Arabidopsis thaliana: one gene and its partner. The protein of the gene in region 2 interacts with the protein of the main gene of each other region in a pairwise test. Each region holds a gene or a part of one and is shown on either strand. Other genes may lie near its edges.

What was found. The genes of interacting proteins can lie anywhere in the genome.
Region 1: the proteins of DOG1 (region 2) and HAI3 interact in binary tests that used the Arabidopsis thaliana proteins (3 or more experiments, as listed by UniProt).

Annotation. Positions count from the first base shown.
Region 1 is NC_003071.7:12,606,307-12,611,153, reverse strand, and holds HAI3 (highly ABA-induced PP2C protein 3), read right to left. Parts: upstream 2,480-4,847; 5' UTR 2,300-2,479; coding exon 1,931-2,299; intron 1,843-1,930; coding exon 1,525-1,842; intron 1,432-1,524; coding exon 1,030-1,431; 3' UTR 804-1,029; downstream 1-803. Other genes in the region: SMO2-2 (sterol 4-alpha-methyl-oxidase 2-2), read left to right, coding at 1-81, 141-257, 342-396; AT2G29370 (NAD(P)-binding Rossmann-fold superfamily protein), read right to left, coding at 3,791-3,973, 4,064-4,170, 4,249-4,465, 4,572-4,779.
Region 2 is NC_003076.8:18,588,608-18,593,917, forward strand, and holds DOG1 (delay of germination 1), read right to left. Parts: upstream 2,900-5,310; 5' UTR 2,890-2,899; coding exon 2,403-2,889; intron 2,049-2,402; coding exon 1,638-2,048; coding exon of another isoform or gene 1,609-1,637; exon of another isoform or gene 1,136-1,608; coding exon 1,062-1,135; 3' UTR 831-1,061; downstream 1-830.

The sequences.
Region 1 (4,847 bases), on a different chromosome or scaffold from region 2:
CAGAGTTATTGAGACAGTTGAGGCACATTGTGGTTATCATTTCCCATGGAGCCCCTCGAATTTTCTTCCTCTATACGGCGGGTAAGATAAGACTTCTAACCTGTGATTGCCTTGAAAGAGCAACACCTTAAACCTAACAGATCTTTAATATTAATGTGGGAATCATTTGCTTACAGTGCTGACTTCCATGACTACCATCATCGATTACTCTACACAAAGTCTGGCAACTACTCATCAACGTTTGTTTACATGGACTGGTAAATTATTGAACTCTGTTTCTTACTTTAACAGAAGTCATAACTATAATAAACATGTAAATATGTTTATCTATGTTACTTCAGGATCTTTGGCACCGATAAAGGTTACAGAAAACTTAAGGCCCTAAAAGAAACCTGACAACAAACAAACGTGAAATTCGATTCCCGAGAGAGGTCTTGTTCTCAAAAAACCTTCTTTCTTTTGTTTTGTCTCTACCATTTCCTCAACTTTAGTCATAAGAACATCATTATTTGCTACAATTTGGGTTGTACAATCAAAGCTGCTAGTCTGAAGTCGATTCGATGTTGAAATTTATACGTGACCTCGTTTCTATTGGACTTGTTGTTACTACTGCTTACTGTTTTTCTTATTCTTTAGATACTGCTAATACTCATAATTGCATTTAGAACCTATGATCTACTCTCATGTCTTTGCCTAGCGGCAGAGACTAAGTACCTCTTAAAGTATCTTAATGCCTAAAAGTAAAAGGTATAGTATAGTCTGACAATCTTTTTTAAAGCAAAATGCTTTTACATGTCGACCTTCTTAATTTGATTTGATTTAAGATTATAAGCATACACGAAACAGGATTAGGGTTGACAAGAATAATTCTTATCATTTCTATTAATTAACCCTTTTTCGGGGTTTCCATAAAATCGGGTTAATTTTGTATACAACCAACGTATTCCAAGAATAACCAAAAAGCAAAACTGATATAGAAAGTTAAAGCAAAATTGTCTTCCTCTTCGACTAGTGTCCACTTACGTGTCCTTATCTTCTGAGATCAATCACAACGACACTGACGTTGTCACTACTGTTCCTTGCCAACGCCAGCTTTGTTAGCAATACTGACGCTTCCGTACAAGCCTTGTCCGAAATCGCCGGATCCTCATTATCTTGTCTTCTCCCACCACCACGGAGACACATACGCGCTACAGAGCAGGCGGTCTCGTTTGACACAACATCCCATAAACCATCACTAGCTAGTATGAGGCAGTCATCGTCTCTCCTGTCCGTTATGGTTACCTCCGGCTCGCAACTCACGTAAGGTTTCAAATAGTTGTCTCCTATTGCTCGTGACATTGCTAAGACTCCGAGAACTCTTGGACAGTCCCAATATATGACTCGTCCACCAGCTCCTTCGATTCGATCCAATTCGTCTGGCCGATCAGGCTGTGTTTCATTACAAAGAACACAATCTCCAAGTTAATCCACAAATCCAATCATTGCTTAAATGAAACTGAACATGTTTTGAACGGAACTGACCTTGTGATCGGTTGATAAAGGGACTGGTTTCCCATTGCGGCAGAGAACTGCTCTGGAATCGCCACAATTGGCGACAACGATCTTATCTGGCGTAATGACTGAGACAACAGCGGTTGATCCGACGGAATCACAAGCCGGTGTTTGTAGATCACACTTGCAATTTGCAGTCACGACGGAATCACCCCACGATACAACTTCCTTATCCATGCGTGTGAAGCTACGCTCCATCGTCGTTTTCCATTCTTCTTCATCTTCCATATCTGAACTTAGTTCTTCTTGCACCAGCTTGTGAAGCCTCTCTCTACACCTTGCTGCAACCTAAGGAAAAAAAAAAGATTTCGTATCAGCTAAAACTGAAAACATAGAATTTCGGAAAACGTAAGAATGCATGGTAACGGAGTCGTACGTGGGAACAACCATGGCCGTCATACACACCAAAGTAGTGTTGAGGAAATTCCGAATTCTTCGGAGAAGAAAATGAAGGATGAATTGCCACCGCATCTTCCATCTCTCTTCTTCTACCGCACACCGAAGAAACACCGTATCTTGGACTGGATACGTCGACATTTTGGTCAGAGAAATCCTCCCGAGAGCTTCGAGGAATTGAAGAGTATCTCGTAGCTAAAGCCTCCTGTTTACTACGCTTACAATTCTTCTCCCAATCTTCATGCATCACCGTTTGGAATCTCGGCCTCCGCCGTGAATGTGCCGGCGTTGATTCATAAACCGACGACGGACATGCGTCGGTCACTACTTCGTAACATATCTCGGCCATATCCGGGGAAAAAAACCTTAAACTTTGATGTCTTCAAATGGATTTTGCTCTGTATTTCTGATCAAGAAGAACAAAACTCTTTCTTAGATGTTTCAAGAAATGTTTTCTTTTTTGATGAACTCTTTCAAGAACTGGTGATTCCTGTTTTGGTTGCTTCACTGGTTAATAAAAATGCTCGAAAACCATTCAATTTGAGAAATAATGTCATTACACGTTACTTGCATTCTCTATTTTATACACAAAACCTGCCTCTTCAGAAACAATTTTAAATTCTTTCTATAAAAAAAGTAATCCACGTAAGGCGTCAGTATCGAGTGCGAGATTCGTGGTCCAATCAAATTGAGACGGCACGGATGACGGATCATAGGAAGTTTCCTTTCGCGCCACGATGCTTTTCCCCGCAAGGTAGGTTTTGTTTTCTGTATTTAAATAACTAGAGGAATTTCATTACGTTAGTTTTCACATTTGATTACATGAATAACCTAAGTTTAGGTATAAATCAGTGTTTACTTTCAAAACCTAACAAGTTTAGTGCTAATAATTTATGTTTGTCCCTAGACAGTAAACACGTTAACAAAGAAAACCTTAATAAACTTATATCTGAATTTTTATTATTATTGTCTTGAGAGTCCAGAGAATCATCGGAAATATAATATGTATGACTTATATGACAGTAATCAGCTATGTTGTGATGGCAGTCTGAACAATTATTAAACAAATTTATCATCGACAAAGCAATTTGAATTCTCATCGTCCAAATATCCAAGAAATGCGATAAAGTTTTATATACCCAAGAAGATTAAATAACAAGTTACATATATAGTTTGTTTTTGAATTTAGAAAATTTAAGGAATATTTTGTTTACATGTCTATTATTATGAGTCCTTGAATATGATATATGAGTATGTTTCCAACGACATGTCTTTTAGTTTAGTTGATATATAGAAGAAACTTGTTTTGTGCTATGCGTGAGAATAATAATAATAATAAATTTATATCAAATATATATATATATATATATATAATTATGAAGATAATTCTTTCTTTGTTTTGTGTTATGCGTGAGAATAATAATAATAAATTTATATAAATTAAAAAAAATTATGAACATAATCTTTACTCCTTTAGCAAAAGTAATCTTTTTAGGCTTTTAGCCATAACCCCCTAAAGATAGGGATACTAGAGTTGAAAATCGTACGGTCATCATTACATGACTATATAATCATATATCATAAGTAGAATATATACAATAATTATTTTATATATCAAAAGTCACAATACGATTGGAAACGAACAAACATCAAATGTGAACACAAGTAACTTCTTATCCGATAAGATAAAAGATTGAGTTCTTCGTCCAAACATTAGAAGGCATGAACGGAGTGAGCTCCCTCAACATAAGTTACATATAAAACTTGTATGAATTAATATGCAGTGAAACCACTAATTAATCACATAAATTTAAGCATGAATATATGCATATATACGTGTTTAAGGCAAAGAGAAGCCGTTAATAGTGAAACCTCCATCAACGCAAATGGTTTGACCTGTTATATAAGAAGCTGCGGGAAGACATAGAAATGCAACAAGCGATGATACTTCATTTGCCTCTCCAACACGTCTCAATGGTGTCACACTCTCCACCTTTTCTTTTACATCTTTATCACCGAGGAACTGAAACATTTTCACATAAACTTCGTAAGAAATAGTTAAACCATTTTTTCATACTATAAATGAAATGTATTTTCTTATTCATTGTCTTACATCTTTAGTTGACGGAGTTGTAATGAACCATGGACAAACAGAATTAGCCCTTATATTATCACTCGCCCACTCGCATGCTAAATTTCTCGCCAGCTGATTCATGGCTCCTAGAATGCGTATACATTTATTTAAGTCGCGATAGAAGCAAAGAATCATAAATTGTTCGAGTATGCGTATAATTATACCTTTGGTTGCTCCATAGATTGATGTATTACCCAAATTTACAACTCCAGCCACGGAAGACATGAGCACAATGTTCCCTGAACCAGAGGCTTTCAATAAAGGATGCGCGAGTTGCGAGAAATGGAAAGTTGACTCCAGATTTGTAGCTATTATAAATGAGAACTCTTCTGCTGTACACTCAGTCGTCGGCTTTAGTACACCTATTCCCACATTGGGTACCTATACAAACGAAGCAAACAAAATTCAACATGATTTTGGTCATTGTCGATCCAAGCTCATAGACGAGGAGGAGGAGAAGCTTATATATATACACACACACACTTACGAGGATGCTGAGTTTTCCTTGGAAGAGAGAGGAAACAGTTTCCATGAGTTTCTCTCGCTGGTCACGAGAAGAAACATCGCAAACAGAAGTGGTGACTTGTAACCCTTTTGCTTGCCATTCACGTAAGCTTTCTTGAAGCTGAGTTTCGTCTCTGGCACATGTGTGAACTCTTGCTCCCAACATGGCTAGTTCCTCCACCACAGCTTTTCTATTTATACATCAATATGAATTTATACATATCATTAAGCCTTTGATCTTTTCAGGGGTTGATTTGAT
Region 2 (5,310 bases):
AAAAGATCTTAGATTTGTGTGGTCGTGGTGATGCTTCGAGTGGGCTCTTCTAAATATAGTGGAGGCTAGTTGTTGTTAAATATTAGAATATCCCAGATTTTTGTGTGTGTATATAATAGATTTTGTAATTACAAATATATGTGGACTTCAATGCCGGTCCTGTCTGTAAATCTTAAGAATCATGATTCAAAATAAGAGTTGTCGCATAAAATGTCATGATACGAAAATAAGTGGAGGATAAATCTTGGAGTTGCAAATACAGATATGGATATGATTGTTAACATCGGCCAATTTTTACTCGGCCCGACCCACTACAAACCCAGGGAGGCAATCACTGAGGAATAAATAAATATGAAACATAGAAAAGTTGATCATGTTCATGGGGGCATCTAGAATTGTGTCATCTAGGTAGATTGCAATATATTTTTACAGTTATAAGAAGTGTTTTTGTAGGTTTTAGAGTGTTATTTTCATTTGAATGATTAGATTTGATCTCTTGCTATCTGTAGAAAAACTAGTATTCTTGGCGATTAAGATATTTTAAGTTATCAAATCGCATTGAAGAGACTCAAATCAATTTATAGAATGAATCATGTAAACATTATTCCACCATGAAGTGGTTACTTAGGTTTAATGTTATTTTAAAGTTAAAGAGCTTACTAATCGCGATCCAAACTTTAACCCTATAGTACATTTCACCACTATGAATACTTGAAATGTTGTGGAATCTTATCTCAAGTATAGAGCTTGGTTAGGTTTAATGAGTTAAGTTTGATATAAATTAAGTTAATATAGATACAGTTGAATTTTCGAAACTAGAACTCTTATTTTTACCAAATCTGCCAAGTCCATAAAAAAAAAGGATGCGTTCAATGAAAAAAAAAGGATGCTTCCAACAATTTATTTAGATACTCCACAATTTTCTTTATGAATATTCCCTACCACACAAAATAATAATGGAAAAATCTAAGAATATAAAAATCCAATGCAATCTTGGATAAAAATCTCCTAGCTGACTTGTCGAGACGAGATCATGTTGCTGCCACGTAAACACACAAATCTCAATTTCTCTCATTATTTGTCGTCTCCGTGGGGCGTGGGCCACTATTCACAGTTGTACATGCATCGAATATTACTGTATTTCGCAAAATGCCACGACGTGAATAAACTATAAAAAATAGAATAATTCAAATATATCTTCGATAAGTGATAAAATTTAAAACATCAAAATGTAACTTATAAATGATTTCTTATCCATTAACCAAAAAAAAGGTTATTTTTTATCCTTACAAACTACAATCTTATAACGAAACAATAATTATTATATAAGATTATATATAAAACTATATTTCTGCATTTAATAAAAAACAAAAGATCCATCTTATACAAAGCAAAATCTTAATTATTTATAATATAAACTAACATAACGCATTGCACCTTGCTACCATAAGTCTTCAGAAAATAAAAGTAACACACATACGGGTTATATATCCCTAGAATATATGCCAAATATATAACTTTATAATATCAAGATTGAAAACCTTGTTATTATGCAATTTTAAATATGACACGTACGTACCTATAGTATCATATCTAATATAATAACGACTACTTTCCTTCCTCTCCTCCGGCATTACCTTCGGTGTCAACCATACAGTCACGACGGCGACGATCTCTCATAGTTCCCCACTCATGCATCGAAAGATGAAGCTTTTTCCCAGCGAGCAAGAAATCCGCTCCTTGTACCGGAGATAGAATCCCGAGGATCTTCGCTAAAGTATCAACCCTTAGATTATCGGCCTCGACCAATAAACGAGCCATAGCTTCTTCTTGCTTGTCGAGAGCTTGATCCACCACTACGTTAGGCTCTCCGACATTCTCCATCTCGTAAGCCACAGTGGCGATGGGAATATCCGCTGCGTCTTCTTGTAGGCTTGAGACTTTCTTGGTCATCTTCTCTTCTTCGTCTATAATTTTTACATGCAACACATTGATTTTAGCTAGCTGCTCCGCACTTAAGTCGCTAAGTGATGCACCGCCGCCACCACCTGTCAAACCAAACCATATTGAACCAACCGAACCGAAACCATTAGAATTTTGGTATAGATCTATGGTTCGGAATCATTTTTTATGATTAATTTTATTTAAAAATAATAATATATTTGTATAATATATAGAACTGAACAAATTCCAAATTCAAACCGAACCCAACTTAATATAAAACCTAAGAATCTATTATTTTTGTCATAAGCAAAATGAACAGAATAAATAAATTTTAGAAATCGGAAGGAAGACAATAAAATTTTTTGCCGCACCGTACTGACTACCGAACCAAAAAATTAAATTTAGTCTATTTTTTTATTCCTCAAAACCGAAATAACCGAAAACGTCCAAACCCTTACCTGAAGATTCGTAGCCGTCGATGTTGCGGAGAAACTGAGTCACACGGATCTCAGTTTGTGACCCACACAAAGCATAAACGAGCCTAAAGAAAGAAGATGGTCGACAACCACCCATCCAAATTAGAGCGTTCTCTAAAGGACTGTTCCACGTGGGTGCATAATAGTTCGAGCTACATCGGTGAGCAAGATCAGCTCTTTTTGCGGCGTAATTTTTGAAATCACCGATGATTTTTCCCGTTAACTTACGAAGCTTGTTATCATTATCTTCATCACCGTGAGATCGTCGTTGAGCTAAGAGTTGTTTGAGCTCAGGGATGCGTTGAGATTGCAAACTCATCCACTCGAGATAAGAATCTTGAGCTTGTTCGATGTTCTTTGATGAAGATCCCATTTTTTTTTTTTTTTCTGATATAATGAGGAGTATTTTGATTATTGGTTTGATCTCTTTTGGTTTGCGTGTTTGTGTTTTGTGTGTTTTTGTTTTCATTTCATTGGGTTTATATATAGTTAAAAGTTAAATGGACCAGAATTATATTTTATTCTCTGATTAATGATTATCTCTAAAAATAATACTATACATTATAATACTTATGGATAAAAATGTCGAATAAACTGAATTATGATTAAACAATTAAATTTTCTTCTAAATATATATTTAGTAGCGTTATATTAACCGAACCAAATTATTATCGTTTAAATTTAATATAGGGAAACAATGACAAATGTCAAAAATAAAGAGGAAAAATAGAAACATTGACAACTCAAAAGTTGAAAATGAACTTGGACAGAAAATGTTTACTTGGACACATATTAAAACGAGTATTAGTATTGAAAGTTGGAAGATTAGTACGTGCTTTCCGAGGAAATAAAAGAAATAACGCATGCATGCATTACGTGGAGGACTAATAGAGAGTGCGAGTTGTTGTTCCAAAATAGTTTAATTTGCCATTATTTTTGTGTAAATTTGGTTGTATTTTCTTCTTCTTCATTAATTATCTGAAAAAGAAAAGTAAAAACCCTTCCTGTAAGTTACGGAAGCCGACACACTCACAAACTAATATATCAATTCACATTGACCCGATATAGAAAAAACAAGATTTTACATGCATATATTATAGTATTAATTAGGATAAAACAAGAAGTGTTGTTCTTCTAAGTTCTAAATCGATCTAAGACTTACACGAGTAGATATGATACGACAACGTTCCTGGAATCAGAAATTCAGAATGGTGTTAAATGTTCCATGTGGCAATTTTACCTCTTTAAAGAGGAAAGAAATTGGAGATTAGATCATACAATTATCAACTTTTCATTCCTAGGATTCATCAATTAAAATATCAGTCTTTTAAATCACTGTGGTTAACAACTAATTCATTGGTATCACTTATTTGATGATTTTTTAATATTCACGATATGTTTTTTTTGTTACTGATATAAATGATTTTTTTGGATGTCCTGAGACAGCGGATTGTACAGTATGTTATATTTATATATATTTTCGTATAAATAATTATTATTCTTTGGGGATCAGAGACTTAAGAAGAGGTGTAGAATATCTTGGAAACGAGTTATCTCCAACTTTTGGACGTTTTTTGGTAAGTACTAAATTATTATAACGAGCTTCGTTAATTTACTTTTGTCTTTTACTACGGAGAAAATGATTAGAAAACTGGTTATATAGTAGTGAAAATTATTCACATGCATCAAATAGGAAGCGACAGAGAAAAAAAGACATATATATGGTGGATTTCAATATCAAAATAATATACAAAAGTTTGTTTAAAGGATGCAATAAAGAAAATTATTCAGTGTAGTGTAACTTGTGTACAAGGAAACCTTTGAGAGCCGTGAAAAAAAGAAGATGGAAATCTTCTACAAAAAATAATGCACCTCAAAATCACGAGGTCGAATCTTGAATATAATACCTGTTTTGGTTTTCCGAGGGAATTATGGACAAGCGGTCCACAATATCTTGATTAAGAACCAAATATTAACATCGTTATTATTGGTTCTATTTATAGCAGTGAATCAAACACGTATGAGGATAGTTCGACACGTACTACGCTAGTCTCGTCGTGTAACGTGCTTAATGAAAAAGTATGTCACGGTTGTCGTTAGTCGTTACCTTTAGGCTCAGGTTATGATGACATATGACCTTATCTTTTATTTATTTTTTATGATAACACAAGATCACTTAATGGGAATACTTTTTTTCAGAAAAAACATTCTGCTTAAAGCTGCATATATTGTAATCAAAGAGTTTTTCGAATAAATTTTACATTGATTCATAAAAGAAAAAACATTAACGGGTAATTTGCATTATCAATTGTCAATGCAAAAGTAACAACAACTAGTGTTTAAATCTTGCGGTTAGGTTTTTAGACCTTTGGCCACCTATCCGGTCATATATCTAATGGGTTTAATTCAATCTTATCTACCTCCTCTTACTTGGGTTAAAAATGTAGACAAGAATATATGTTTTTGAGAGAAACGTTTTTGGTATAGTAGTGGTGGTGATCTACTAGTATAGGTTCTTCTCATCTAAATGAGTTCGACTTCTCCTACTTAAAAATAGGTTTAATTTAAGCTGAAGCATGCACAAACAATTTGGTCTAAAACATGTAAATGTAGCCTACCTAATTCCATTGTTGTTAATTGAATAAATTAGTCTTACTTTTGTACTAACAAAAGATCATTTGCTACACAAGAAAAAAAAGACATGACTAAACAAAAAATACAAATTAAAAAATATCATAAAATGGGTTAAAAAGAAGCCGAAGTCAATATATAAACAACTTTTCATCACAAAATACGTACAATTATACGTAATAGGTATATGTATGATATATAGTATACAACAATTATACAAACACATCGTTATATCATCTGGATTCCAAATACACTATCA